Linked DNA regions of Pelodiscus sinensis. The main gene of each other region encodes a partner of the protein of the gene in region 2 in a complex. Links are inferred from orthologs where the notes say so. Each region holds a gene or a part of one and is shown on either strand. Other genes may lie near its edges.

The links.
Region 1: GTF2A1 (region 2) and GTF2H4 share a complex: the UniProt entries of both Homo sapiens proteins name them as parts of the TBP-based Pol II pre-initiation complex. The link is inferred for Pelodiscus sinensis from reciprocal best matches to the Homo sapiens genes GTF2A1 and GTF2H4.
Region 3: GTF2A1 (region 2) and GTF2F2 share a complex: the UniProt entries of both Homo sapiens proteins name them as parts of the TBP-based Pol II pre-initiation complex. The link is inferred for Pelodiscus sinensis from reciprocal best matches to the Homo sapiens genes GTF2A1 and GTF2F2.
Region 4: GTF2A1 (region 2) and POLR2L share a complex: the UniProt entries of both Homo sapiens proteins name them as parts of the TBP-based Pol II pre-initiation complex. The link is inferred for Pelodiscus sinensis from reciprocal best matches to the Homo sapiens genes GTF2A1 and POLR2L.

The regions. Positions count from the first base shown.
Region 1 is NC_134742.1:11,749,495-11,757,272, reverse strand, and holds the start of GTF2H4 (general transcription factor IIH subunit 4), read right to left. Parts: upstream 3,008-7,778; 5' UTR 2,863-3,007; intron 1-2,862. Other genes in the region: VARS2 (valine--tRNA ligase, mitochondrial), read left to right, coding at 3,103-3,109, 4,467-4,831, 5,191-5,272, 5,373-5,473, 5,747-5,868, 6,007-6,073, 7,313-7,410. UniProt on the Homo sapiens protein: Component of the general transcription and DNA repair factor IIH (TFIIH) core complex, which is involved in general and transcription-coupled nucleotide excision repair (NER) of damaged DNA and, when complexed to CAK, in RNA transcription by RNA polymerase II.
Region 2 is NC_134714.1:38,763,608-38,771,104, forward strand, and holds the start of GTF2A1 (transcription initiation factor IIA subunit 1), read left to right. Parts: upstream 1-4,485; 5' UTR 4,486-4,595; coding exon 4,596-4,625; intron 4,626-5,196; exon of another isoform or gene 5,197-5,675; intron 5,676-7,497. UniProt on the Homo sapiens protein: TFIIA is a component of the transcription machinery of RNA polymerase II and plays an important role in transcriptional activation. TFIIA in a complex with TBP mediates transcriptional activity.
Region 3 is NC_134711.1:286,841,321-286,848,519, forward strand, and holds the start of GTF2F2 (general transcription factor IIF subunit 2), read left to right. Parts: upstream 1-4,194; 5' UTR 4,195-4,416; coding exon 4,417-4,482; intron 4,483-7,199. UniProt on the Homo sapiens protein: TFIIF is a general transcription initiation factor that binds to RNA polymerase II and helps to recruit it to the initiation complex in collaboration with TFIIB.
Region 4 is NC_134714.1:119,981,896-119,989,330, forward strand, and holds the start of POLR2L (DNA-directed RNA polymerases I, II, and III subunit RPABC5), read left to right. Parts: upstream 1-4,434; 5' UTR 4,435-4,568; intron 4,569-4,678; exon of another isoform or gene 4,679-4,821; intron 4,822-5,880; 5' UTR 5,881-5,893; coding exon 5,894-5,988; intron 5,989-7,435. Other genes in the region: TSPAN4 (tetraspanin-4), read right to left, coding at 4,196-4,386. UniProt on the Homo sapiens protein: DNA-dependent RNA polymerase catalyzes the transcription of DNA into RNA using the four ribonucleoside triphosphates as substrates.

The DNA.
Region 1 (7,778 bases), on a different chromosome or scaffold from region 2:
ACAGGCTAGACACACCATCCCTACCCATCCTAGCTAATGGAGAAGGGAATGAAGTAAGATGAAGGGGTAGCTCTGGAGACTGGGGCACAGAATGATGAGGGGTTTGGAACGGGTCCCATAGGAGGGGAGATTAATGAGACTGGGACACGTCATCTTAGAACAGAGGAGACTAAGGGGGGGATAGGACAGAGGTCTGTAAAATCATGACAGGTGTGGAGAAAGCGAAGGAGGAAAAGTGATTTACTTGTTTCCATCACATAAGAACTGGGGGCAAATGAACAAATGAAATGAACAGGCAGCAGGTTTCAAACAAAACAAAAGGAAGTTTTTCTTCACACACAGTCAACCTGAGGAACTCCTTGCCAGAGGATGTGGTGAAGACCAGGACTTCAACAGGGTTCAAAAAAAGAGCTAGATAAATTCACGGAGGACGGGAAGTGGTGCTGTCCCTGGCCTCTGTTTGTCTGGAGGTGGGCATCAGAGGAGGGATCATTTTGATGATTCCCTGATCTCTTCATGCCCTCCGGGGCACCTGGCATTGGCCGCTGTCAGAAGACAGGATAAGGCTGAATGGCCGCTCTTATTCTTCTCCCCAGCATGAGGGGCAGAAAGCACAAAGGCGAAACGTACCAAACCAATGCAAGCTGGGAACAAGGGCCGACGGGAGACCAGAGCAGAGATCTCCAAGGGGAGGGAAAGGTGACAGGTCAATGGGGCGAGGCAACACATTTGTGGGTGGTCTCAGCCTGCGAGCCTCAACTCTTGCGGGTGGCCGCTCTGACAAGTTTTTCCTAAAATACTTAATTAGCTCCAGGGGAAAAAAACCAAATAAATACGCACAGCTCCACCTCCCAGTCACTGGCTCTTTTTTATGGTGCCGGGTTTGGTTTGCTTTGCTTTGCAGGCTCAATAATACAAATATCTATTTTTTACTGGGCCTATGCGGATAAGAAACACAGATCAGGTGCTTTGCATGTTCTTGTCTTACGCTCTTGTTTCTTTGGTGGGTGGCTTTCTTTCTGAAGGCTTGCTAGCTGCTCAGTCTATTCCCATGAAAAGGGATATTTGCATGCTTGTTATGATCGCTTTTCAGCAGGGCAGCTGACTGGCTCACTGGCTGGGGCGGGGGAGGCTGCAAAAAGTGATTTGAGCAAACATACAACAATCCATTTTCACAAAAGACTTGCTCAAATGAAGGGGGACAAACGGAGCCCTGGATGGGGAAGTGGGGGCATGGATGGGGGGCCAGGAAGGCAGCATATGCGAGGGGAGGGCTCGGAGCCCATAGCCCCACAGCTGGAGCAATGTCAATCCAATGCTCCCCATCAGTGTTCCCTCTAATTTTTTCCATCTGTGTGTAGAATACATTTTGTGCCATGCACCACGACATGTACAGATGTGCACCACCAGTCGAAATACATGCTGCCGGCTAGGGGTGCTCTGCTAATCAGCTGGGAGGTGTCTGAATCTTTCCTGGGGGGCCGCCCAAGGGCTCAGCTCACAGGGTCCCCATTCAGGCCCCTTGCTCCCTGGCCATCTCCCGTCTGCCCGACCTGCTACTGGAAAGGACCCCTCTCTGTCCCCACCTATATCCCTAGGCTCTGCCCCCACCCACCCGGGGGGGGGGGGCTCCCTGCCCCTAGACCCCAAGCTCCCCTCTCTGCCTCCACCACCTGTATCCCATGGGTCTGCCCCCTCCCATCCCAGAGCGCCCCTGTCTGCCCCCATCTATAACCCTAGGCTCTGCCCTCCCCCTCCCAGCCCACAGGGGCCCCCTTTCCATCCTGAAGCTCCCCTTTCTCCCCCAACCAAACCCCTAACCCTCCCCCCTCAGGGCACCCTTTCTGCCCCCAGACCCCCAACTCCCCTTTCTGCCCCCATCTATACCCCTAACCCTCCCCCCACAGGGTCCCCTTTCTGCCCCCAGACCCCCCAACTCCCCTTTCTGCCCCCACCTATACCCCTATCCCTCCCCCCACAGGGTCCCCTTTCTGTCCCCAGACCCCCCCAATTCCTTTCTGCCCCCACCTATACCCCTAACCCTCCCCCCACAGGGTCCCCTTTCTGTCCCCAGACCCCCCCAACTCCTCTTTCTGCCCCCAGCTATACCCCTAACCCTCCCCCCACAGGGTCCCCTTTCTGTCCCCAGACCCCCCCAATTCCTTTCTGCCCCCACCTATACCCCTAACCCTCCCCCCACAGGGTCCCCTTTCTGTCCCCAGACCCCCCCAACTCCTCTTTCTGCCCCCAGCTATACCCCTAACCCTCCCCCCACAGGGTCCCCTTTCTGTCCCCAGACCCCCCCCCAATTCCTCTTTCTGCCCCCACCTATACCCCTATCCCTCCCCCTACAGGGTCCCCTTTCTGTCCCCAGACTCCCAATTCCTCTTTCTGCCCCCACCTATACCCCTAACCCTCCCCCCACAGGGTCCCCTTTCTGCCCCCAGACCCCCCCAACTCCCCTTTCTGCCCCCACCTATACCCCTAACCCTCCCCCCACAGGGTCCCCTTTCTGCCCCCAGCCCCCCCCAACTCCCCTTTCTGCCCCCACCTATACCCCTAACCCTCCCCCCACAGGGTCCCCTTTCTGTCCCCAGACCCCCCCAACTCCCCTTTCTGCCCCCACCTATACCCCTATCCCTCCCCCCACAGGGTCCCCTTTCTGCCCCCAGCCCCCCCAACTCCCCTTTCTGCCCCCACCTATACCCCTAACCCTCCCCCCACAGGGTCCCCTTTCTGTCCCCAGCCCAACTCCCCTTTGTGCCCCCCACTCACACCCCTAGGATCTGCCCCCTTTGTGACTCAGCCCCCTCTGTGCCCCCCATATCCCCAGCGCTGCCCCCCCCCCGCCCGGGGACCCACCTTCTCTCGCTCCTGCGCAGCGGCCCCTGCCGGCTCCCTCCATCCACCTGCCCGCGGCTCCACGCGGAGACCCCCCGCGAAACTCCCCTTCCCGTCATGCAATGCGACGCCCCCTGCTCTGCGTGGCGGGGGGGGGGGCGGATAGGAAATGAGCAAAGCGTTCGCTCCCTGCGCTGATTGGCGGGCTGGGGGTGAGGTCACAATGCGCGGGGCGGGGCGGGAGTTGCGCGGGGCTGGACAATGCCAGGTGAGGTTGGGGGGGGCGGAGTAGGAACCAGGACTCCTGCCCAGGGGGGGGGGGGGGGGGGCTGGGAGTCAGGACTTTCCCCAGAGCTGGGAGGGGAGCGGGGTCTAGTGGTTAGAGCGCGGGGGAGCCAGGACTCCCGGTTCTTTCCCCAGAGCTGGGAGGGGAGCGGGGTCTAGTGGTTAGAGCGCGGGGGAGCCAGGACTCCCGGTTCTTTCCCCAGAGCTGGGAGTGGAGTGGGGTCTAGTGGTTAGAGCGGGGGGGGGGGGGCAACAGCCAGGACTCCTGGGTTATTTCCCTGGAGCTGGGAGAAGAGTGGGGTCTAGTGGTTAGAGCAGGGGGGGGGGGGTGACAGCCAGGACTCCTGGGGTATTTCCCTGGAGCTGGGAGAAGAGTGGGGTCTAGTGGTTAGAGCAGGGAGGGGGGGGGGTGACAGCCAGGACTCCTGGGGTATTTCCCTGGAGCTGGGAGAAGAGTGGGGTCTAGTGGTTAGAGCAAGGGGGGGGGGTGACAGCCAGGACTCCTGGGGTATTTCCCTGGAGCTGGGAGAAGAGTGGGGTCTAGTGGTAAGAGCGGGGCGGGAGGGTTGAGAGCCAGGACTACTGGGTTCTCTCCCTGGCCAAGGGGGGGGGCAGATGGGTTAGAGAGGGGTCTGGGAGTCAGGACCCCTGGGTTCCTTCCCCAGAGCTGGGAGGAGAGCAGAGTCTAGTGGTTAGAGCGGAGGGGCAACAGCCAGGACTACTGGGCTCTCTCCCTGTCCAAGTTGGGGGGGCAGGTGGGTTATAAGGGGGCTGGGAGTCAGGGCACCTGGGTTCTTTCCCCAGAGCTGGGAGGGGAGTGGGGTCTAGTAGTTAGAGTGGGGGCTGAGAGCCAGGACTCCTGGGTTCTTTCCCCGGAGCTGGGAGGGGAGTGGGGTCTAGTGGTTAGAGTGGGGGCTGGGAGTCAGGGCACCTGGGTTCTTTCCCCGGAGCTGGGAGGGGAGTGGGGTCTAGTGGTTAGAGTGGGAGCTGAGAGCCAGGACTCCTGGGTTCTTTCCCCGGAGCTGGGAGGGGAGTGGGGTCTAGTGGTTAGAGTGGGGGCTGAGAGCCAGGACTCCTGGGTTCTTTCCCCGGAGCTGGGAGGGGAGTGGGGTCTAGTGGTTAGAGTGGGGGCTGAGAGCCAGGACTCCTGGGTTCTTTCCCCAGAGCTGGGAGGGGAGTGGGGTCTAGTGGTTAGAGTGGGGGCTGAGAGCCAGGACTCCTGGGTTCTTTCCCCGGAGCTGGGAGGGGAGTGGGGTCTAGTGGTGTGAGTGGGAGGAGGCACCGGAGGCAGAAAACACAGGTCCCTGGGTGTTAAATCCTGTCTCCTTCTCTGTGCCCAGCAGGTGCCTTCCCCAGCCCTGTGCTGCCCCCTCACCAGCCCCTGTGTGGGGTGGGAGCTGCCAGGAGACGGGGACCCACCCCCCAACCAGCAGGTGGTCCGAGCCACTCACATCTGGACATGGCGCCCAACTGGCTTGGCTCCGGCACCGGGTGGATTCTGAGCTCCCTCCGCCGGCTGCTGCTCCGGGCTGGCCCCCGGCCCCCAGGCGCCCCGTGTGGATGGAGAACCTCCTCCCAGGCTAGTCAATCCGACCCCGAGGGGCTGGAGCGGAAAATGACCCAGCTCAGGAACAAGGCGGAGAAGCGGCGGCGGCAGCGGGAGAGGCTGGAGTCGATTGAAGCCGGAGTGGCCCGGAGGCAGGAGGTAGGGGGCGCTCTCCTTGCAGTCAGCGCTCATCCCAGGACCCTGTCTTCAGTGAAACGAAACACTCCCTTGTGACGCCAATGCAGCTGTGCCACCCCAGAAGTGGCTGCATTTTTGGACCCCGAGAACAACCCCTAGGCAGCGTTGCTGCAGGCTGTCCCCCGGCCACTCCACCCCAGAAGTGGCTGCATGGTCAGTCCAGAGCAACCCCAGCGTAAATCTCCTCTGTGATAAATGACACACCCGTTAAATATCTTCTTGTTCTGTTGCGTGATGAAGTCCGGTCCATGCGTTCGTCCCCAGCAGGGTGCCTGGTTCATACCTTGCCATCCTTTTGGGTGTCTTTGGTGTTTCCCCAGGTACCTCAGGGGCAGGGTAAGGCGTGGGCCCCGAAAGAGGTGGTTCTGTACGACATCCCAACTCCCGCTGGTCAGAAGAAAGGTATGCTGGGAAAATATAACCCCTCTACCCCCCGGGCCTATAAAGATTTTGTGAGGGGCCTCTCTGGTCGTGGCTCACCGAACGCTGGCTCTCTCCCTAGACACGTCCCTGCCCCTGCCGGCCTCGTACAGCCCCCGCTACGTGGAAGCCGCATGGTACGAGTGGTGGGAGAAGGAAGGATTCTTCAAACCCGAATATCAGGTAAAAACGTCCCCCTGGGATCAGAGGCCCATCACTGGCATAAGTTGTGGCAGGGCTCAAAGCTGCCCTAGGGGGCGCTGTGCTGCAGGGAGCTCAGTAGGGGGCGCTGTCCCCTCACAGTCAGTGCAGGTCGTCCCCCTTCCGGGAGGCACCAGGGGGCGCTGTGCTGGGAGGAGCGGGGGGGGCAGGGCGTCTCACTTCATCCGTGCTGGCCCCGATGCAGCACTAGGGGGCACTGTGCTGGTGAAAACAGCCTCTCTCTCTGTGTCTCAGAGCCGGCAGCCCCATAGGAAACCAGACGTCTTCTCCCTTTGCATCCCCCCGCCCAACGTCACGGGGTCCCTGCACCTGGGCCATGCCCTCACGGTGGCCGTCGAGGATTCGCTGGTGCGATGGTGAGTTGGGGCTCGGAGGGGTGGGGAATGGGCCGTGCGGCCTTTCTCCACTAGGGGGCGCTGACTCCAGTTTGCGGGGGCCTGAGGCCGGCTGCGGCACACAGAGGCCCTAGCGTGTGTCTCCTACCTGCCTTGCAGGCGCCGGATGCAGGGCTGCCGGGTGCTCTGGGTGCCGGGATCGGATCACGCCGGAATCGCGACTCAGGTGAGCCCAGAGCCGCGGCTTCGGTGGAAGGGTTTGTGCTGTCGGAGGAGGAACCCCGCTTCCCCAAGCAGCAGCAACAAATGCCCAAGGGGTCCGGTCGGCAGAGCCGCAGCACTCTGGGCGGGGTGGGTTTTCACACCCCTGAGGGACGGAGCTAGGTCAGCCGAAATTTGAAGTGTAGGTCAAGCTATGGTGGAGGGAATCGGCATGGAAACGCAGCCATCTCTGGGGTGGAGCACCTGGGGGGAACAGCTCCCAGCAACTCTGCACAGGGATTACTCTTGTAGCACAGGAATGCAGCCAGCTCTGGGGTGGGGCAACTGGGGAGAGGGAGAATAGCCCCAGCAACGCTGCTCAGGGATTGCTCGTGTAGCATGGAAATGCAGCCAGCTCTGGGGTGGGGCGACTGGGAGGGAGGGGGAATAGCCCCAGCAACGCTGCTCAGGGATTGCTCTTGTAGCATGGAAATGCAGCCAGCTCTGGGGTGGGGCGACTGGGGAGAGGGAGAATAGCCCCAGCAACGCTGCTCAGGGATTGCTCGTGTAGCATGGAAATGCAGCCAGCTCTGGGGTGGGGCGACTGGGAGGGAGGGGGAATAGCCCCAGCAACGCTGCTCAGGGATTGCTCGTGTAGCATGGAAATGCAGCCAGCTCTGGGGTGGGGCGACTGGGAGGGAGGGGGAATAGCCCCAGCAATGCTGCTCAGGGATTGCTCTTGTAGCATGGAAATGCAGCCAGCTCTGGGGTGGGGCAACTGGGGAGAGGGGGAATAGCCCCAGCAATGCTGCTCAGGGATTGCTCTTGTAGCATGGAAATGCAGCCAGCTCTGGGGTGGGGCGACTGGGAGGGAGGGGGAATAGCCCCAGCAATGCTGCTCAGGGATTGCTCTTGTAGCATGGAAATGCAGCCAGCTCTGGGGTGGGGCGACTGGGAGGGAGGGGGAATAGCCCCAGCAACGTTGCTCAGGGATTGCTCTTGTAGCATGGAAATGCAGCCAGCTCTGGGGTGGGGCAACTGGGGAGAGGGGGAATAGCCCCAGCAACGCTGCTCAGGGATTGCTCTTGTAGCATGGAAATGCAGCCAGCTCTTGGCTGGGGGCGGGGGTTACAGCCCCCAGCAACGCCACGCAGGAATTGCTCTCGTAGCACAGAAATGCAGCCAGCTCTGGGGTGGGGTGGCTGTTTCTGTCCTGTGTGTGTGTCCCTCTCTCTGGTAACCCTCCCTGCTCCCCTCCTGGCAGGCGGTGGTGGAGCGCAAGCTGTGGAAGGAGCGGGGCGCCCTGCGCCAGGACCTGACCCGAGGGGAATTCCTGGCCGAGGTCTGGAAATGGAAAGAGGAGTGAGTGCAGCCGGGCCGTCACTGACCCGAGACTGGGCTTGGCAGTAGTGGGAAGCGGCCCTGGGCTGCACATAGAGCGAGACAGAGGCTCAGAGGGGGTGCTGGCAGTCAGTGCTGCCCCAGTGTGGCACTAGGGGGCGCTGTGCTGCAGGAAACAGTCTGAGGGCCCAGTAGGGGGCGCTGTCCCCTTGCAGTCAGTGCTGCCCGAGTGTGGCACTAGGGGGCGCTGTGCTGCAGGGAGCAGGCTGAGGGCCCAGTAGGGGGCGCTGTCCCCTTGCAGTCAGTGCTACCCCAGTGTGGCACTAGGGGGCGCTGTGCTGCAGGAAACAGTCTGAGGGCCCAGTAGGGGGCGCTGTCCCCTTGCAGTC
Region 2 (7,497 bases):
CCTAGGCAGTGTTCCCTCTAAGATTTTCCAACCATAAGCAGAGTGAGTTTTGGCTTTTTGAAGTCATGTGCACTGATTTGGATGTGTGCCACCATGGCACCAAATTTATTAACACACACATGTTCCCGGCCGCTGGAGCAACCCCCCCTTCCATGCAGCATGTTCCATTCCCAGCCACTGGAGCAGACACCCCCCACTCCACTATGAGGCAGGGCCTGTTCCTGGTGCCAGCCACGAGAACAAACGTTTCCCCTCCCCACCTACGTGGAAGCCCTGGCCACCAGAGCAAGCTGCTCCCACCTCCCCCCGCCCTAGTGCTCCCTCATTATGGTGTCTCAGCTGGCCCTGCCCTCCAGAGCAGCTGCCTGTGCAGCTCTCCAGAACAGGTTGGCGGGGGAAGAATTTTTTTGTGTGCAGCCGCCCAGGCATGCACCTTAGTGGGAACTATGACCCTAGGTCACAACTCCTTCCTGTCCCAGGTCACATCCCAATCTCCTGCACCCCAGACCAATGCCCCAGGTCACAACTACCTCCTTCACCCAAACTCCCTCCCAGACCCCACTCTCCCTTCTGCACCCCAATCCCTTTCCCCAAACTCCCCTCTGCACCCAACTTCCATCCCAGATCCCGCATCTCTGTTGATATAGAAGAATGCAGTCCTTGACCACTTACCAAATTCTTGGAGTGGCCCCCTATCAAAAATTCTTGCCCATCCCACTGTACAGAGCAATGGAAAATTAATACTAACAGGCTGCGTCTAGACTGGTAAGTTTTTCTGCAAAAGCGGCCTTGCCAGCTATCTACACTGGCTGCTTGAATTTGCACAAGAACACTGACGATCTAATGTAAGATTGTCAGTGTTCTTGCGCAAATACTATGATGCTCCCGCTCAGGGATAAGCCCTCTTGCGCAAATGCTTTTGCACAAGAGGGCCAGTGTAGACAGATAAAAACTGTTTTGCACAAAAAGGCCCTATGGCGAAAGTGGCGATTGGGGCTTTCTTGCGCAAAACCATGTCTAGATTGGCACGGACGCTTTTCCGCAAAAAGTGCTTTTGCGCAAAAGTGTCTGTGCCAATCTAAATGCTCTTTTCCGCAAATGCTTTTAACGGAAAAACTTTTCCGTTAAAAGCATTTGCGGAAAATCATGCCAGTCTAGACATAGCCACAGTGTTTTCCTTGGGTGGTGTCAACTTTGGCTGATATCTCACTCCTGAAGGTAACAGGGACAGAGAGAGCACAGCTGCTGCTGGTGTCTCATTGCTACCCAGGCCCAGATACTGCTAGTCTGTGTGCTATGATACCTACTAAATCACTGAATGGCATGGGAGAGTGTTGTGCCATGGTGGGAGAAGTAAGGCAGCCCTCCCTGGGAGTCTTTGGCAGAGGATTGCAGAGTACCTCCATGAAAGCTTTACTGAGATCTTTATGGAAGATTCACAGGATATCCCATTGCACATAAACACCGCACTGCTAACTCTACTTTTCTGGTTTGTTTCACTACTACTTCTAGCAGAAATGGAAAAAAGAGTAAATCAACAGCAAACTACATACTTATAAGAAGTTCTTTCCCCTGCATTAGGCTCACTTGCATTTGAGTATCAGGAGTAGCTGGATTGCAATGGAGTCAAAAACACATCCTGACTTGCCACACAGATGGATTGCATGTAGTCAGTCCCCCATGCTTCTCCTCGCTGTTCATAGCAGGGGCTGTGTCTGGGACTCCTCTAAAGTATCCATGAGACTTGGAGGATGGCATGCAGCTTTTTATAAAAGAATCAGGTAGGTAGCTCTGCATCAGATTAATTATTGGCCTCCCTTGCCTTCTAGGGTCATGAAATATGGGATGACTTGGGGCGTGGGTGTGGGTGTAGAATCAAATTAGTGAGGGCCAAACAGGGCTAAAAGGATGGATAGGAACGTGGGGCCAGGAGAGGTCACTGGATAGGGGCTGGGAGAGTTGATAACTGGACTCAAGGAAATTGGAGGGGGATTAAAAAAGACCTGAGGGTGCTGGATCACAAGTGGAGGAGAATGAGGGGGCTTTGGAGATCTAGGGAAGCCCTGTCCTTCTGGGTGGGGAGCTCAGATCAGGCATGTTAGGAGCCACGTGTCAAGAACACACAGCTGAAATGGGGATGAAGAGTTGAGAGCAGACATGCTTAATGCATATCATAGAGACTCAAGCTTTCGGGAATGGGGATGGTACACTCATTGAGATGAAGGGAAAAATTCACACATCTTAGAGCTGTTGTTTCAAGATGTATTCATCCCTATGGGCTGTTCTGATTCAGCAGACACTGGCTACATCTAGACAGCACTGTTAAATCAGAAAAAGATACACAATTTGAGATTTCTTTCACTGGTCCTGTTAGCAACTACATGCTCTAAATATTCAATATTATCATTGTCCCCATTCCAGGATACCATTTACCATACCATTTACCTTCCCCCACCCCCCCATCCCCCTTCTGTTCTGAAATTAGATTTGTCCTTTTCATAGGTGTTCATTTTTTTGATTGTATCCTTTGGTATATATGGTTGTGACAATTTTCTTCCACTATTTGATCTGAGGAAGTGGGTCTGGCCCACGAAAGCTCATCATCTAATAAACCATCTTGTTAGTCTTTAAAGTGCTACATAGTCCTGTATTTTGTTTCAGCTACACCAGACTAACACTGCTACATTTCTATCATTATTATTATTTGTGTAACTGTAGAACTGAACAGGACTAGTCATGGTCCAGGACCCACTCCACTGTATATGATGGGGGTGGGGGGAAGCAGATTTATTGGGTTCCTCAATAAAGTGGGGAGAATAACTCCATGCTCCTGGACGGGGAAGGGCCTCAGGCAAAAGGGGCAGAGCTGGAGGCATCAGCACCGTCCAGAGCACACTGTGCTCGCCTCTCCACCCCCTGCCAGTGCTGAGAGCTGCCTGGAGCATGCTGTTTAGCGCTCCAGCAATCATTTAAAGGACCTGGGGCTCCAGCCACTATTGCTTCTGTGGTAGTGGCTGACAGCAGTGGTCCCCTTTGAATTGCCAGGCTCAGAACAGCTGCCCCCTTTACCCTCATCTGTCAGCGGGCCTGACTGTACAAACAAAGAGCAAAAACATAGACTCTGGCTCAAGGATCTTATAGACTAAATCAGTGATGGGCAACCTGGGCTAGTAGGTGGGCTGCATGAGAGACCCTCCATCTCAGTAGGCTGAAAGATTGTTGTAACCAAAATGGATTCTCGGGATAGGGTAGTTTTGCTAACAGTGCTTGCAGGGTGGAAGGTTTTGCAGGGCCCTGGGCAACACAATTTTACGCCCCCCCCCCGCTTTGACACAGCGCATGCGCCATAGCGCATGTGTGGGGCCTCTGGAAGCACGGGGCCCGGGACAGCCACCCCGCTCGCCCTGCCCTATATCTGTCGCTGAGTGCTTGCTCACCTATAATTTGTGGGGTGTGCAGATTGCTGATTGCAGTGGTTTGAATGTAGAGGGAATACATGGCTCTCACAGTCAACGTTGTGTGCAATCAGAACGTACTTCTTGCGCCCTTACTATACGTGCAAAACGCTTTAGTAATACCTGTAGGAAAAAAATTTATGCAGACAGAAGCCAGCAGAATCAGGCAACACTATGCATAAGTCATTCATAGAACTCTGATGGGCTGCATGCGGCTTGCAGACTGCCCACCACTAGCCTAAATGTAAGATGAAAGACATAAAAATTCATATCCCTTTCTTGTTATCCTCTGTAAAGTAACCATGAAAAGCTTTGTTAATGTCTTTTAAAATCTTGCTTAGCTCTTAGCATCGATATTTTTGGGGAATTAATTAAGCCTTACAGAAAAATGTAAGTCCCTTTACTAGATTTTTTTTTTTAAATTTACCACCACTCACTCTCATCCACTGTTCCTATGCTCTATGGAGACAGATGCCGGAGACAAGCCGGGTTCGAGCACAGATCAGGGGCTGCAGGTTAGAATACACACTGATGCAAAAGGCGATGCTACCAATGCATCTCGGCCAGGGAGCGCCCTGCAGCCTCCGCCTCCCCACGACTACAAGGCTGAATCGCCGCCCGTGTCCCGGGGAGAAGCTCTCGGATGCCCCGCAAGCCCCATCTCGGAGCACACACGCAGCGGACATGAGCCCCTGGCTGCAGCACCAGGCACAGGCACTAAGCGTCCAGGACCTTCCCTTCCGCCTCGCTAGGTCTGAGCGGGAGCGCGCAGGTGACCTCTTCGCTACTTCCGCCTCAGTAGGTGTCATGGCGGCAGGGCGAGCCTCCCACGTGACTTCAGGCGGGCGGAGCTCGGTCCCACAAGCTCTCGCGCAGCCTCGCTTCCCCCCGCCCGCGTCCCCCTCTCGCCCTGGCCGCTCGCGCAGCTGCTCGGCTCTTGCTATATAAAGGGGCGAAGCGGGCAGAGCGGGCGGCTGGCGGCGGCGGCTGCAGCCCGAGGGCCGGCGAAGGAGGCCGGGCCAGGCCGCGGGGCTCCCCGTGCGCCGGGGCGGGACGCGCGGGGTCGGGGGGACGCGCCGGGCAGGTTTATTGTTTTAGGGGCGACTCCGCCGCGGTGGGGTGTCCCGGGGGGCTCGGGACATGGCGAGCTCGTCTAACACAAACCCCGTGGTAAGGACCGGGACGGGGAGGGAGCGGGGGGGCTCGGGCGACAGGCGGGCCTCAGAGCCCCCCGCCATCCCTGGCCGGCCCCGCCGCGGGAACGGCCGGCCTGAGCGGGGCAGCGCCCCCCAACCAGGAACCAACTTCTGCCGCCGCTGCCGGGGAGCGGCGCCGGGACCCGCCAGAGCCGGCGGGGTGGGACGGGAGCGGCGGCGGCGGCGGGCAGCAGCCTGTCTCCCAGCCAGGAGCGCCGAGGGGGGAGCCGAGTGTCTCCGTCGCCTGCACCGCCACAAGGCTGGGGGGCGGCTGGGGAGGGGGCGAGCGGCTTCCCCTGGGGGGAGAGGCTACCGGGGAAGCCAGGCGCTGCCTCCTGTGCCGGGGGAGGGGGCGGGCGGGTGGCGTATGTGGAGGCGAACTCAGCCTGGCGCTGCTGGAGCCATTTTATGTAGCTTTATAAGAAGGAGGCAATGGTTGAAAAGCACTTGTCCCAGCCCTGCAGACTCGGCTGACGGAGGAGAAACCCCCCTCCAGTCTCTTCCCCGTGGCAAGGAAGTAATTAAAAAAAACCCGAACAACTCACCCCTTCCTCCCCCTTGTGCTTTCTGCACTCTCGGCGGTGGCTTGTTTTACTTGTATTCACATAGATGTGCAATAAGCAGTCACATAAATCTTTGTAGCCGCCAAGCCCCACCGATCGCTTCTTTCCCTTCCCTCTGACAAGAATAAACCCATCCACAAGCCTACCCCCGAAAAGCTGCCGACAAACCCCAGTCCGGGCGGTTACGGTGCAGGCTTGGCCCCCTTGTTTGTGTTTCGCTGTGAGATCCATCATGGCTTCCCCTGCCTTTCTGTCTCCCTGCTCCTTGTGTTCCTCCTCCCTGTGACTGCCCTGTTTATATAGAGCCATTGCCGCTCTCTAATATAGACTCTGCCAGGATGGGAAGGTGCTTTCCAGCCCCACGTCACCGCCTCTCCATTTAAACACCACATCAGCCTTTAAATAGGGAGAGAGCTGCTGGGAGGTGCATGCACCAGAGGCAGAGACTGAGAGAGACACAGACACGCTCTTTTTGTCACTCAGTTCCTGCTTTTTCTGCTTAGCTATTAGTCCCTTCCGTATTAGTCTGCAGTTCGTAATCCCAATTGTTGAAGCTGTGGAATTTTAAAGTAGCAGTTGCTTATCACTCTGTTTATTTAGGTTGATGATTGATCTTTTCTAAATTAGGCAGTATTCTTTCCTTTTTGTGTGTTGTTTAGTGGAGGAGCACCAATCCTCACCCTATTTAGAAAGTAATCTGGAGTCCTTAGCTATTAAACAATGCAACAAATAGTGCCTAGTATATAAATGTCTGCCCTCTTACATGTCTTTTCTGCTGTGGTAAAGCTGTAGTTGAAATAAAATTATTCTTATCTAGTATTTTATAGAGAGAACTGAGGCTAGCTATTTAATGATACTTAGCAAAAGTTTACTTAAGGGTGAAGTTTTACATGTTTAAATGTTGGCAACATATTGTAGTCTAATGTAGTTTAAAATATCTGTTCCAGATAATAAAGTTGAAGGTTGTGCAGACATGTTATTACTCTCCAGGAAGAGCTAGAATTTGTTAAAAGTTTTCATAATTTTTGTGGACATAACATAATATCAATTGTGCAAATATTTTATTGCATCAGATTTTAAATACCAGGTAGCCCTCTATAGCATAAGAGCCACGCTTATGTATGTGAAAAAGGATGTCTGTTGCCTTTGTATTTTCTTTTGGTTTCAGTCAGTGAAATTAGTCAGCTATTCTGTACATGGCAATTTATTATATGTCCAGTAAGTGGCATGTAGTGAGAATAAATGTCAGCAGACATTCAAAGAGCATAGACTGTAATCACATTGATAGTTTCAGGGTTTATTATTTTGTAACAAAGACCTACTTAGGCTATGTAGTACTAGCAGATGTACCTGGCATTGCTTGGTCTTTAGTAATTTTTTAAATTAAAAAAAAGTACATGCTTTACTTAAATGACAGGGCTCAGGGCAGGAGGTTGAGTGTGTGGGGTGCTTGGTTCAGGAGTTAGGGCAGGGAGCTGTGAGATGTGTGGCGGGCTTAGGGCAGAGGCTCAGGGTAGGGATGTAAAATCCTCTTTAATTGGCTAACCAGCTAAACATATTGTTTAATCGATTAAAAGGGGGAGGATGGGTGTGCTCCCCCTTCCCACTGCTGGGGGAGAGAGAGGGGACACCCCTCCCTCCTTCCCTCTGCTGCAGCCTGGCCGGTCCCTGCCTGCAGGGTACCCTGCGGGGCTGCGGACAAAGGGTGCTCTGACTGGGACAATGGAGCAGCTCTTCCTTGTGACCGGGTCAGGGCACCTCAGAGACAGGGACTGCTCTGAGCATCCCAGTCACAGCAGCCCCTGCCTGTCCATAGCAGGCCCCCTGTGAGGCTGGAGCAGCCCCTACCTGCAGCAGATGGAGAGCTGCTTCAGCCTCATCTGTTCATCTTAACCCACAAGGAGTATTGGTTAAACCTTCGTATCCCTAGATCAGGATATGGGGTGGGGTGCCTCAGGATAGTGGATGGGGTGCAGGAGTCAGGGCAGGGGACTGGTTGGGGAGCTTAGGTTGCCGGGTTCTGGAGTGAGGGCAGAATGTGGGGGCTCAGGGCAAAGGGTTGGGTGTAGGGGAGTCAGGGCAGGTGTTCAAGTGTGGGGGGGCTGGAGGCAGGGGATGGGGGGACTCGGAGTAGGTGAGGGGGAAGGAGTGAAGATGGGACTCGAGGTAGGGGTGCCTCGCCTCTGAGGCTTTGCTCTGGCGCTGGACCGCTTTGCTCCCGGTGCCCCTGGTTTGCTGGAGACGGTCCCCAGCAGACCAGGGGCACCGCGAGCAAACCCGCAA
Region 3 (7,199 bases), on a different chromosome or scaffold from region 2:
CTATGTTCCTGAATTCTGTCAATAGTCTTATAGCTGACTCCTCCCAGAGCTGAGCTGGTTCAACATCTATGTTGTTCTGCTGAAGGGCCATTACCGTAACACTGTGACTTGTTTGGGGAAGATCAGAGCTTCTGGAACAGCAGGATAGGGTGATGGGGCACTCCAAAGGGCAAGTCGGCAGGCTCAGTGGCATGACCAGCACACCAGGTGACAGCCCAAAGGGAACCTGTCACACACTATTCTCAGAAGGTGTGGAAGTATTGGGGAAGTTTATAGGGCAGGGCTTAAACTGGTGCAAATGATTATAAATTGTCAATGGATTTCAATGGAATGAGGACAATTATACCTAAAAGCCTGCCCCAGTGTCAGCGAAGCCAATATGGAAAGGAGGAAAAACCTGGCCTATTTGATTAAGGAGGATATGAATCTCTTTGGCAGTGTAACTCTTATTAGGTTTTTTCTCTGAAACTGTTCAGCACCTTTTTCACTTTGTTACTGAGTCATTTGCTGACAAGATCGAAGAAAGAGCAGTCCCTGGATCAGTTTTCTTTCTGATAAAATGTCTGTATCACTCATGGTTTGAATGAAAACTATTATCCATCATCTCTTTTTTGCCTGGAATGGGCTGAGCTATGGAGTTCAGATCCTGATCTAAATCTGAATTTTCCCAGACTCTGGAGTGTTCAAATTCAGTGTCCCTTATAGAGATATGCCTCAGGTATCACAGCATCCAGAACCAGAAGACATTCAGATTCCACAGCAAGAGGTAACGTATAAAAACATAGATCCACAGAATTCATGGAGGGGAGCTGGAGGATACATACAGTGTTCTGGTTTTGGTCCATCTATAGTGCTGGTGAAATTCTTTTAAAGGCCCAGTTAGTAGTAATAATAGCTTACATTTAGCTAGTATCTTTTATTCTGAAGATTCTCAAAGGCCTTTGTGAACTATATTCATACAGCAATCATTACTGATATAGCCTTTGAGATGACAAATAGCTAACAGAAAATGTGCACGTAGTACTCAGAACAGATGAGAGTAGAACTAAAATACTGCCCAATCAGTGAGCAGATACAAAGCCTTGCTCTTATGAAAACTGCCAGGAAATCCTGAATTTCCATGCTGAGTGGATAGGATTTCAGGTTTAAGGTAGGGGTGTGAAAAGAGTTAGAAGCAAGTGAAGAAAACGTACTTGTTGAATGTTTGAATTAAACATATATGGCTATCTTCCAGTAAATGACAAAATATGTTTTCTCTCATTTGGTTTACCTGTACTTGGCACAGGATGCAAAGAAGGAAATAATAAGTGGCTTTTTTGTTGCTGGCCAGAGATGCTTTGGTCCTTAATACAACTCTAAGCAGCTGCAGGGATGTTCTATGTTACCTGTGGTCTCCAAAGAGCTATACTGGCAACCAATGATTAGTGAGCCATAGCAATACATTGGCTATGCCTCTTTTCACTCTGGGAATAACCTTTACACTAATTGTTGGAGGGGAGGGGATAGTATAGAAGTAGTGTAGTGATTCTACAGCACTCTGGAGATTTTCCCTACATGGAAAAACTCCTCAATTGGCCAATTAAGTTGAATTTACAGTCCCTCTGTGTCAGCAAAACTGTACAAATGAGCCAGTGTGGTGATGAATCTGTCCTTCTGTCTCTTAGAGCAAGTTTCTTCTGTTCTATTGTTACACACCCACATTATGGAAATATTTTGTCATTAATATTCAGTGAGCACCATCTACTTTGTGTATAAATCCAAACACAAGTCAAGAGCCATCTGTTTAATATAATTCAGCATTTCAGTTTTGTGTGATTATATCTGATCTGTTTGACCTACCATGTCAGCGCTGTTTGTTAACTGTAATTTTACCTGATGTGGGAAATTCTAGGATGCTTGTGAAAAGAAATGTGTGTGTATGCGCATACGCGCATATATACATTCCATTGTATTGTAAAATAACAATTCATGCATGCTATGTTTTATTCCCTTTCTACATACAACATCTCACTTTCCTGGGGATTTCTCTGAGTAAGGGTAAATACTGAAAAGGTATGTTTCATTAAACATGCTAGGATTTGCAAAACAAATCCTCATTTTTGGGAGGTTGTTTTTTTAGCTTTGGGAGTATAAGAACTATATTTAATCATCCTGAATCTAAAATCTACAGCACTGGCTCAAGGAATCTTGGAAACCTCAGGGTTTATCTTGCAGAATTTCCTCTGTACACTGGCCCCAGGAGCAAGAAGTTTTAGTGACCTGAGGGAGGCAGAAGGCATAGTCTTCATCCCTGTAGATCAGTAGTTCTGGACATTGTGACCAACTGTGTGCTAGATCTTTGTGACAGGTGAAAACTTCTCCCTCTTAAGTATGTTTTCATTGCCTTCTCAGCCTGCATCTATGCCACCCTTACCCCTTTCTAAGAGGGCTGCTGACATAGTGCAGGTTGGACAGTGTTAACTCCTCTGAGTATATTTTCCCCGATATCCTTTTGATTCTGAGGGAAGCATACATAAGTTCACTGTAGTCCACAACAAAACTCCTATTAATTTTAATGATAATGCCGTTTTTTTTGTCCGTCGATTATTTTTATCTTGCAAATCAGTACTGCCAGTCCTAAGACTTCAGGCAGCACTGAAAGAGGCTTGTTACAGTGCAATCTCTTGAGCCCACTTGGTTATATGAAAAATTCAGAAGTAAAGGCTCTGTAATTTAAAACCTAGTAATGTATTTCCCCTGATTTTACATTTATTGTATATAAACAGGAACAGAAATGGAAACACAGAGCTCAAACTCTCAGCTACTGGCTTCCGATTCTTCATCTATGGAACAAAACACTGGAAAGTGAAACATAAGGTTAGGATTTTAAATAAGAAATTAATGAAAATGCTTCTTTATTGCCCCACTTAATGTAGTTTCCATGGAAACAGGACTGGATAGGCTGCCTGTAGCTGGAACGGAAAATTCTGCCTTGTCACTTTCTGCTCTGAGCCACCAGCTGAGCCAATAACACTGCCATATTTTTCCTAGTTTTTAGCACCTTACATGAAAACAATGATTTCTCACAGAGCAACTTAACTGGCCAAATTAGTATTGTTAGCTAAGTTTGTTACTTGGGCATTTAGCCTGTTTACTTATACTACTTAACTAACATAAAAATTTAAAAGGAGGAATGTAATGCATATTCAAATTACTAAATCACAACACCAGATTACTGTCAATGTCACTTGAGTTGAAGAAATTAATTCCATGTCATTTTTAAACAGTGGGCAGGTGCAACCTGAACATATGGTTTGAGCTATTTAGACACAACTCCCACCATTCACTTACTGTTTGGTTTTAACAAATCACATTGGGTCATATTAAAAGATGCTGAACTCTTCCTACTTCATTGTGCTCATCCCTTCACAGGCTCAGTACCTAAGCCTCAATTAACAGCATCTGTGAATCCTGCCTGGGGCAAAACTTCAAGATACTGAACATCCTCCCTACTGTGTTCAAACAAGGGCATCCACACACAACCTTTCCCCAAAGTAAGTGACAGTGGGAATAGAATAATAGTTTACAAATAACTGGTTTTCAGATAGACAAACCCTTCATTTCATTTTTGGGCTTTCGGAGATGCAATGTCTGAGTTTCAAACATGGAAGTGGGTGATTTTTTTGCTTAAATACACCTATTCCCTTAAAGGTTTTTAACTTAATGAAAGCTTGCTTTTAACCTGAGTTTTGGGCTAAATCTGAGTTGACAGCCTGTTTCTCATCTCCTGTCCAGGCTCTGGGGATGCTGCAGAGTGGCTGGCTTTTACAGGAATGATGGTAACCCATTATTGATTCACACATCGGCTTCCCCCCTGCTGCTGGAGTAGCTACCAGGTTGTTTCTATGATAATCAGTAGGTAATTTCCTACCAGCAGGGCACGGCCCCACTCCAGGCCTGGCACCTCTGAGGGGTCACGTCTGTCTCCCCCCACATACAGCTCTGTCCCAGGAAGGAAGCACGGCCAGGAGCCCAGCTTCTCCAGGGCCCTGTCACTCAAGCTACCAGGGGGCGACTCCCCTCTAGGCGCTGACCTGCCAGCTTGGGGGTGTCCCCACCACAGTCAAACCTCCCTGCAGCGCGCCGGGCGGCCCCTAAGCCCCCCAACACCCGGGGCGCCTCCCCCGCCGCCAAGTGCCAGTCGCTGCCCCTCCCCCTCCACGCCTGCCAAAGGAAGCGTGAGGGATCAGGCCTTTTCTCGGGGGGGGGGAAGGGAGGCACTCCCTCCTCGCTCCGCTTTGCCGCGGAAGTTTGGCAGCGCCGGGCCGCCGTAGACGGGGTGAGCTGTTGATTCCTGTCCGGCTGGATGCAACGGCCATTGTGTGCGGGCGCCTCGAGCTCGTTCCGCGTGTCCTCGCGCCCCTCGCCCGGGCCGCCATGAGCGAGAAGGGGGAGCTGGACCTGACCGGGGCCAAGCAGAACACCGGCATGTGGCTGGTGAAGGTGAGAGGCCGCGCGGGTCCCGGGCCCGCTGCTGCTGCCGCCGCCGGGACGGGGCTCGCCTCCAGAACGCAGCGCGGCGGGGAGCGAGGGGCTGGGGAGATCCCCTGGGGAGGGCCCCCGACGGGCCGGTGGCGCTGCAGACGGGGCCTGGCGGCTGAGGCGGTGTCCCCGCCGGTGCGGTGCGGCCTGGCGTGACCGTCCCTGAGCGGCGCCGCTTCCCGCCGGGGCCCGCCCGGCGCGCAGGAGACTCCCCTTGGCCGCCCCCACGGTCTCCGGCGGGTCCCGCGCGCTGCTGCGGCCTCCCTGGAGCTGCGGGGACCCCGCCAAGCGCGAGCCGATGCAGAGTCAGCGGGCAGGTGCCCCGGCCTCTCGCTGCTTTGTCAGGCGCCGTGCCCAGAGCTGCGAGGCGCCAGCCCCTTCAGTGGCCGCGCTTGGGAGCAACCCCCTACCGCTCTGTTTCTGTGAGCACTGGCGAGGGGGACAGGGAACGAGACAGTGTAATTGCCTCTCTATGCCAGTAGCATCATGGAAGCCTTGGCAGAAAGAAGAGAATTAATTTTTCCCTTTTCTGTAGCTGGGGTGTGAACTTTAGGCTAGACTTAAGACACTGTTGGGTGGGGATGGATGAGGCTCCCTAGGCACTGTCCCTGGCTTACACCCTGCTAGGAATCACATCGTACTTTATCTTCTAAGACCCTGGGCTACATCTACACTGGCAGCTTCTTGCGCAAGAGCTGTTTTGCAGAACAGTTCTTGGCAAAAAGTCTTCCACAAGGGAGGCTGTGTCTAGACTGGCAAGCTTTTGCGGAAAAACTTGCGAGCTGTCTACACTGGTCACTTGAATTTCTGCAAGAACACTGACTTCCTACTGTCTGAAATCAGTGCTTCTTGCGGAAATACTATGCTGCTCCCATTCGGGCAAATGTCCCTTTTGCGCAAAAGGGCCAGTGTAGACAGCTCAGATTTGTTTTGCGCAAAAAAGCCCCTATTGCGAAAATGGCGATCGGGGCTTTTTTGCGCAAAAGCGCGTCTAGATTGGCACGGACGCTTTTCCTCAAAAAGTGCTTTGCGGAAAAGTGTGTGCGCCAGTCTAGACACTCTTTTCTGCAAATGCTTTTAACGGAAAACTTTTCTGTTAAAAGCATTTGCGGAAAATCATGCCAGTCTAGAGGTAGCCAGAGTGTCTACACTGGCATGTCCTTTTGCACAAGAGATGTGCTTTTGCGCAATAGCGTCCATGACAGTGTGGACGCTTTCTTGCGCAAGAAAGCTCTGATGGCCATTTTAACCATGGGGCTTCATGCACAAGAAATTCATGTTGCCTTTCTACACTACCCTCTTGTGGAAGAGCTCTTGCGCAAGAGAGCTTATTCCTCATGGGGAGAGAAATAACTCTTCTGGAAGAAGCCCTGTTTTACAACGCTATACTGTAAATTTACTCCCACAAGAATGTGCGTGCAGTGTAGACAGCAGGCAAGTTTTTGCGCAAGAACAATTGTTCTTGCGCAAGAAGCTGCCAGTGTAGACATAGCCCTGGGGTCTTATCTGCATTAAGAATTTTCAGGATGACACAGTAGATGAGCTTCAGGAGATAGCCAAGTTAATCAGTTACAGAAAAAAACAACAAATGGTCTGGTAGCACTTTATAGACTAACAAAACATGTAGAAGGTGGTATGAGCTTTCGTGGGTGCAGCCCACTTCTTCAGATGATCAGAGTTATGAGTAGGGGATATGAAAACTCAAAATAAATAGGAGAGGGAGAAGAAAAAGAAAAAAAGAGCAGCAATAGAAATTTTCAGAAAAATCCTTAATATAGACATAGTCAAGGAGTGGGCTTGTCATTAGGTCTTGGAATTTGCTCTTTCGTGTCAGTTTCTGGATGGATTTTGCCCATGAAAGCTCATGTTACCACCTACATGTTTTGTTAGTCTTTAAGGTTCTACTAGACTATTCATTGTTTAAGTTTTTCTAGTTTCTGCGTAGTAGGTTTTATGAAGCCTTGTTGAAAATGGGTTGATCCTACCTGTGCTAACCAAGGAGTTTTCAAATGAGGAGATGAAGATATAAGGGGGACCCTAGGCTGTGTCTAGACTACACTGCTGTGTCCACAAAGAGATATAGATTAGTCACGCCGAAATTGCTAAATATCCGGCACTCCATTAGCATGGGCTCCCCACCCATGGCCACGGCTTTTTTTTTTTTTTTTTTTTTTTTTTTTTTTTGAAGCGGGGCTTTTTTGGGAGGGGGGAAAAAAAGCAGTCTAGACGGGGATCTGTCGAAAAAGGCTTTATTTTTCAATGGATCCCGTCTAGACTGACTTTTTTTTGAAAAAGCTCCGTTTAGAAAAAAAGCAGCAGCCATGTTTATGCTAAGGAAGCATGGGATATTTAAATACCTGCTTCATTAGCAATTTCGACATGCCTAATCTACATCTTTCTGTCGACAGAGAGGTATAGTCTAGATACAGCCCTAGTGTTCATATTGATTATTAACAGAACTTTCCTATGTATACTCTGTATAGGAGGAGAACTGGAATAGCAAGAACTTTTTATGATTCTTCACAGATAGTTGATGACATGATGACATGACTTAAAAATGACTTCCATGACTGGTATGGACCAAGTCTATGGTCTTTTAACATTTTAATTCCTTTATATAGTAGGGATGTGAAAAGGTTATCTGGTAACTGCTGCAGGCAGGGGGCTGCTTCAGTCTT
Region 4 (7,435 bases), about 81 Mb from region 2:
ACATGCCAGAGAGTACAATCTCACACACACACACTCTCCCCTCATCCCCCCCCAAGGGATTATGAAAAGAAAGCCTTCAGACACATGCCTTCAGTTTCTGAACTTTGCCAGCAGGAGGAGCAGGCATATATTAAGCCACCATCCTGCAGTACAAACTACAAAAGGAGAAGGTCACAGAAGACACAGCTTTTCAACATGGCTAGATGCAGAAATTCACTTGCCCTCAACACATTATAAACCACTTTAGGGAGTGTGCATGCAGGTCTCTTAATTGGCTGAATATTCTTTAATCCTCTCATTGGATAAGCAAAGGTGGCCTGGGCAACGAGCAGCAGACTGCAATATTCCACAGAAAGTGCTTTACAGGAAAGAGTAGAAAGGAACATCTGCCTTTTAAACAAACATGTAGGATATAATGGGTCATTGCTATAGTATTTTATACCTCAGCCCAGCTGTACTTTGCAGGTCCGCCTCCCTCCAAAGTCCTCAAGGTGTGTTTAACCCCAAGAGTGTTAGTGGCAAAGCAAACACCAGTAGCCTTTGAAAGCTATGCCAACAGCAAAGATAATCTAAATGTAACTAAGAAATGTAATGCATATGTCAGAGGGCAGGTTATACATATGTCTGCAGTTTCACAACAAAGCAGCACAATGGGCAGTCTGCTTTAGGATATACCCCACACACACATTTTTGGAGGGGGTTGGCATCACACTTCTTTACTCCTCAAAGAAGTAACTTAGCCAGTCAGAACCTCATGCAGAATCCCTGAACCTGTTGCTTCATATGGTTCACTACTAGTGACCCTGCCAGAGTGCTCCCGAACAATGAACTTAAGAGGCTCATCTACAATTGATATTGCATCCTACAACCTCCAATAACAGTCCAAAGCCACAAAGATCTGGGGAGTGCCACTTACTGATAGTAGTAGGAGACCTGGAGAATGGGAGAGCGTGAAAACTTCTTGGCGTGAGATGTAACCACACACTTCTAGGAGCATAAAGAACTCCAGTATTTGCAAAAGGAGATATTTATGTGGAAGACCCAATTCAATTTAGCACCAAAGAGTACGGTTTGGTATTAGAACCTATAAAACACTTAAGATTAGAGGTGCTGGAAATGGGGAATTCCACCCAATAAGGTAGCAAAAAATCACCCTAATAAAAATGTGCCAAGATTAATACCTTACTGACTCTGCTTCTTAAAACACAACACACAAATCTTTTAAACAGCCCGTTGTGGGTTGGCAGGCAAATACACTCAGGAAAACAAAGGACATGCAACGTTCTGCATAAAGTGTTCTCAAATGTAGCAGTCTATATGGTTCACAGAAAACAACAATACTTAAATTTCATAGGATCAAAGTCATTAGAGACATAAGAGATGTATTAGATCATTAAGCCCATCACACAGCCAGGGTAGGCTGTACACACAGGACACCTCTAATGTTAAAAGTAACACTATGGCAAGAGCACAGTGCTGTTTTCTTGATGAAGATGCACATGAGGAGTTCTTATTCACACAGCGCATAGTCAATCTGTGGGACTCCTTGCCTGAGGCGGTTGTGAAGGTTAGGACTATAACAAGGTTTAAAAGAGAACTAGATAAATTCATGGAGGTTAAGTCCATAAATGGCTATTAGCCAGTATGGATAAGGAATGGTGTCCCTAGCCTCTGTTTGTCAGAGGGTGGAGATGGATGGCAGGAGAGAGATTGTTTGATCATTACCTGTTCGATTCACTCCCTCTGGGACACCTGGCTTTGGCCACTGTTGGCAGACAGGGTACTAGGCTGGATGGACCTTTGATTTGACCCAGTATGGCCATTCTTATGTTATGATGCAGCAGCTGAGAATTAACTCAAAGTTGCTGTCAAATTCAGTTTTGTCTTCCTTAAAATTACCACAACTTATAGGCAAAGCCTGGACTTACCTGTAGTGTTGCCACTCTGCCACGAAAACCCAGTACCTCCCCTCTCACTCTCCCTCCCTACTTTCTGCCTGCAAATACACTTCACAGTTCTGCGAGAGAATTTCTGTAGAGCCCCAGTCCTAAAAAGGTATCAAATCACAATCTCTAAATTCACCACAGACACAAAATCAAAGGAGAAAAATATACAATAAACATGCAAACAGTTCTCATTGGCCTAAGAATCTATGGCTGGCAGCAGTTCGCATTGATGCCAAGTCAATTCATTCTGTTCCGTTATCTTATTGAAGATAATTATTGTTCCTGGGATTGCAAAATAATAGTCTGTTTGTTAGTGCTTAGAATTGTAAAACCACTTATAAACAATCCCAAAACCCATTTGTTATAATGGAAGTATTTGCTCTTCTACAGTTCAGATTCAGTCCAGAGTTTGTGTGTATTGGGTCAATAATCCATGTATTTAAAAAAGAGTCACGAAAGATGTATTAACATAAGCTGAGCATTAAGACAATTATTTATATGCTGGGCAGTAATGGGACCACACTATGCTTTGTATTAAATCTCAGATAACTTCAGAAAATTACCACTTCAAATAAAGAAAATTAGCATAATGTTAATGTTGTAACACAAGTGAGCAGTAAAAATGATCAATATTCATACTGATTCTCTATCCCACAACCTTCCTACCCAAAACAGAAGAATGTGCCCTCAAAGCAGGTAGCAACTATACCTGCTTGCATTCTCTAAGCACAACAAAAACACATTACCAAAAGCCTCTTAAGTTTTGGTGTACACAGCGTGATCGTTTTTCACCTTGTCTACCCAGCCCTGCAACTCCTTCTCAGTGGGGCATGACCCTTTCTTTCCCTGTCCTTTTCCCTAGATATTGCAGATGCTTCCTAACAGTGCATGATGGAGTTCTATTGCCTAGGCACAAGGAAATGGGCCAAGAATGGTGTGTGCCAGTGTTAAATTAGAACGTTCTTGCTTTGGCCACACATTGTCTTTTAAATTTATATTAACAACATGAGTCACATTAACATCTGTCCCTTATAGGGCCATTTTCAAGTTTAATTGGCTCTAATTTAGATTATGTAAAAGTGAACTCTCTTACTGAACTAAAATAATTATAACTCTCCCTATTTTGTTTCCCTTTTAATTAAAACGGTTGTTTTGAACCAGTAAATATCCCCCTCCAGGATTAAAAATTCACCACTAACAACATGGAAGTGAAAATGACAATAAACAAGAGTAAAACAATCCACACTGATTTGCTTCAGTCAAGCTGAGAGAAGGATAAACTGTACACAGTGACAAGTAACTTGGATTTTTTAAATAATTTCTAATTTAAAACTTTTACATATTATTAGTAACCACTAACCCCATTTGCTTGCTATCAACAATTGATGTCCGCTTTAAAATTGGCAGAATATATGCCTTTTTTATACAAATGCCTCCACAATTATTTGTAGGTGACCAAATTCAGAAACTTCACATTTAATACAAAAATTATTGAAATGTAAAGTAGCACATCAGACTTCCCTCTCTGCAACAGTAGGGTGCCCTGGGGCACACCTCCGGTTACCTTTGGGATGGTTACTTCCTCTTGAAAGATCTGTATTTGTACAGAATAAGGGTTTTGGGGGGCATCAAATATCAGCTCTATAAAATCTGGCTTGGATAGAGACTCCTTCCCTTAGGAAACGAAAGCACGGTATTAATAAAGTCTTAGGCAGCATTGTGAAACCAGGCTGGATTAATTTCCAAGGGCAGTTTTTGTGTGGCTGTCTGTGTTTTTTAAGTCTCTCCACGTTGCACTCTGTGGGGTTTGTTGTTTGGTTGGTTGCGGGGTTTTTGTTTTTAATTCTTAGCGTGTCATCACTGTTTGCAAGCCGCCTTGGGAGCATCTCTTCGCAAATCACTCCCGAGCCCTAGGGACAAAGGCATCCCACAGCGAGCGGTACCCAGAAACACCCCGCGTCTTGTCCTACCTCTCCCCGCCCTGAAACAGCAGAGGCTGGTGAATCCCCTGAAGGACCCAGGAGAAGCCCCTCTCCAGCTCTCCCTCGCCTCCCTGCTGCCCCACCACCAGGCGCACAACTTGGTGCCGAGCTGCAGCCACCAGTTGCACTTTCCACTCATGCACAAACCCAAGCACTAGCTGGGGAGGGGGACCTTACTTCTTCTCAGTCCCTTTACTAAAGCCCGAGCAACAAGTGTCCGCCCGCTGCGGAGAGCGCACGAGAAGCATAAGAAAGGAAGAGCGATACCTGACACTGCGCCGCTGCCGCAGCTGCCGCCAGCCTCTGGGCTCCGCTGCTCCAGCTACTGCGGAGGCTGCTGAACACTCCGAGAGCGCCAGCTGCCACTCAGCGCCGCAGCCGCGCACGCGAATCGCGAACGCTCCCCGAACGAGACTATCTTGGGCCAAGGGAGACGCCGTCGAGTTGGGACGTACCATCCCGAAGCCGGGGAGCTGAACGCGCTAGGCCGTAGGTCGGCCGCTATCATCTCCGGTGGCACTGTTGCGTCCTGGGTACGGAACACCCCCCCACCAAATAGGGAGGAGTGGTATCGCCGGCAGAAGGACAAGTCTGCTGCAGTTGGAGTGCACTTCCCGGACGCGGCGCGCGGCCTGCTGAGGTAACGGGACAGCGATAGACCCAACCACCAGCTCCGCGGGCTCCCTCCCCTGAGGGGCCCCACTACCCGGGGCCCTCAACCTGCTTGGGAACGACCCGCGCTCTGGCCTTAGAGACACCCCCGGGACTGGCGTCCCCCCGGTCTCTGGCTTCGCGCGCGCCACAACGGTCTTCCCGGGAGCCTCGAGTGTCCGGCTGCTGCGCGCGCGAGCTCCCGGCGCGTGGCGAGATGGCCCCTGGCCAGCGCAGCGTGGGTGCGTGTGAGCGCGCGGCTCCCGCGAGCCCAGGGCCCGTGAGGAAGCGGTGCGGAGTTCAGGGACCCGGGGGGGGGGTCTCGCTGAAAATCCTGAAACCCGGCGCCGCCTCTTGTGCCTGCTCTGACTGGAGATGCAACTGGCTAACAGCTGCCTGGCACGCTCCCTCCCCCCTCCTTTCCCCCGCCGCCGCGGGCTTGGCTTGGCCCGGCCCGGCCCGGCTGGGCTGGAGCAGTGGGTGGGGGCTGCTCGTGCCCTTCTTGGCAGGGGGAATCCGGGCTAATCGGTTAAATGTGACATCTGACCGGTTAGCTGATTTAAATGGGATTTTACATCCCTACTCTGAACAAACCAGCCAGGAGCAGCTGCCTCCCCTCCCCGCCTTGCCTGCAAAACGCTGCTTGGATATGGCACTTGATCCACTCAGCTACTGCCCCCTTGTTTCTCAACTTCTAATCCAGGTTGGACTGACAGGGCAGCCTGTAGCACATAGGTGCCTATGCTCTGCTTAAACAAGTCAAAGATCTTACCTAGGTGACCCAAGAGTCCTACCTACATGGGTCTCTTAGCAAGTTTACCATTCACTATTGGAGGGAAAGGCTCTAGCAATGGAGAGCTGCCCAAGCCTTTCACTGTGCTGTGTAGGTGCATACAAACGAGGAATGAGAGTGCACCCTGCCTTCCACCACCATAACTACTTAGGTCTGTAATGCCTGTTCTCTATTCACTCTAAGTGTGGGCAAAGCATCAGAGGATTTTGTTAAAATTGTTTGAACTGAAACTTGCCATAGCCTTTAACTATCGGTGTCTGAACTGAAAGACTAATGCATAGATGCTCTTATATGAGGTTAACAATCCAGGAGTGTGAATAAAATAAACAGGACTGTTTATACTTGGGTGCCTGAACTGACCCTTTCAGCTGTGTTGTACTCTTGAAATTCCCACCTCCCTTTTGCCCAGTGTGAAAAACTTACGTAATGATATTTTACAGATACATCAAATGCATTCCAAGATGTAAATGTAAGTGGTAACCATGTTATTTGGTTAATGTTTTGACAGTCACTGCAAGAAAATGATTATTCCCGTCAGATGCTTCACTTGTGGCAAAATAGTTGGAAATAAGTGGGAAGCATATCTTGGCCTTCTCCAAGCAGAATATACAGAAGGGTAAGTATTTCTTTATGGTCCTTGGCCCTGATCTTGCAAACAGTTACTGAGACTTGGTCTATGCTAGGGAAGTAGAGTGACATAAGGTGTCTTATGTTGACCTAACTGTCTTTGTCTACACTGCAGTGATGCTTCTGCTGCTGTAAATCACCCACTACATCAACTTAATAACTCCATGTTTGTGAGAGACATGGTGCTTAGGTAGCACCGTATCTGTGTAGACACTGGAGACCAAGCCCCAGTGCTAACAGCCTGAGCTGTCATGTCAGTCAGGCACCATTTTGATGCTACCCCACACTTCCTGCACATTCAGCTGGGCACCGGGCTCATACCTTGAGCCTCCTGCCCTGGTATTGACAGTCAGAGCTGGAGAGGGCATGAAATAACAGCAGCCATAAAACGGACAAGAATGTCCATTTCACTACTGGTAAGCTTTCTGCTATGAAATTGACCTCAAGCCCCAGGAATACAGGTGCCACTCAATTCTGCTGTCGGTGCCCCACTGGTAGGAAGAAGGTAGCATGATCAGTGATATCAGATTTAATTGCTGTGGTGGCTGTAGGTTGACCTAATTTTGTAGACAGGCCCTCAGTGCTTATGCATTGACTTTATTGGGGTAGCGCCTAAATTTATGTATAAGCGACAAGGAGTCCTGTGGCACCTTATCAACTAACAGATGTATTGGAGCATAAGCTTTCGCGGGCTAAGACCCACTTCCTCAGATGCATGCGGTAGAAATTTCCAGAGGCAGGTATAAATATGCAGGCCAGAATAAGACTAGAGATAACGAGGTTAATTCAGTCAAGGAGCGTGAGGCCCACTTCTAGCAGCTGATGTGGTGTTCACATCTCCACATCAACTGCTAGAAGTGGGCCTCACGCTCCTTGACTGAATTAACCTCGTTATCTCTAGTCTTATTCTGGCCTGCATATTTATACCTGCCTCTGGAAATTTCTACCGCATGCATCTGAGGAAGTGGGTCTTTGCCCACGAAAGCTTATGCTCCAATACATCTGTTAGTTGATAAGGTGCCACAGGACTCCTCGTCGCTTTTGCAGATCCAGATTAACATGGCTACCTCTCTGATACAGTTATGTATGTAACTATTCACAGGGTTTAGTTTGCTTTTCCCTGTCTCCTAAATATAGGACTTTTTACTAGCTCTACATCTTGTCTGTAAAGTGAACAAGGGCACCAAATGCTTGATTTTTTTTTGATTTTTTTTCATCTTTTTTTTTTTTTTTTTACCCCCCAGGGATACTGGGCACTCACATCTTATGAAAGTTAGTAAGTGTTCAACAATTTAGAAAAAACTACCCTGTCTGCCCTGAAGGGAGAGCTAACATGGAGACTTCACCATAAAGCCTACACCACATTCCTTCAACCACACAGATAGGGGGGAAAAAGCTGTTGCCATCCCACTCTGTTGCCTCTGATACAGAGGCAG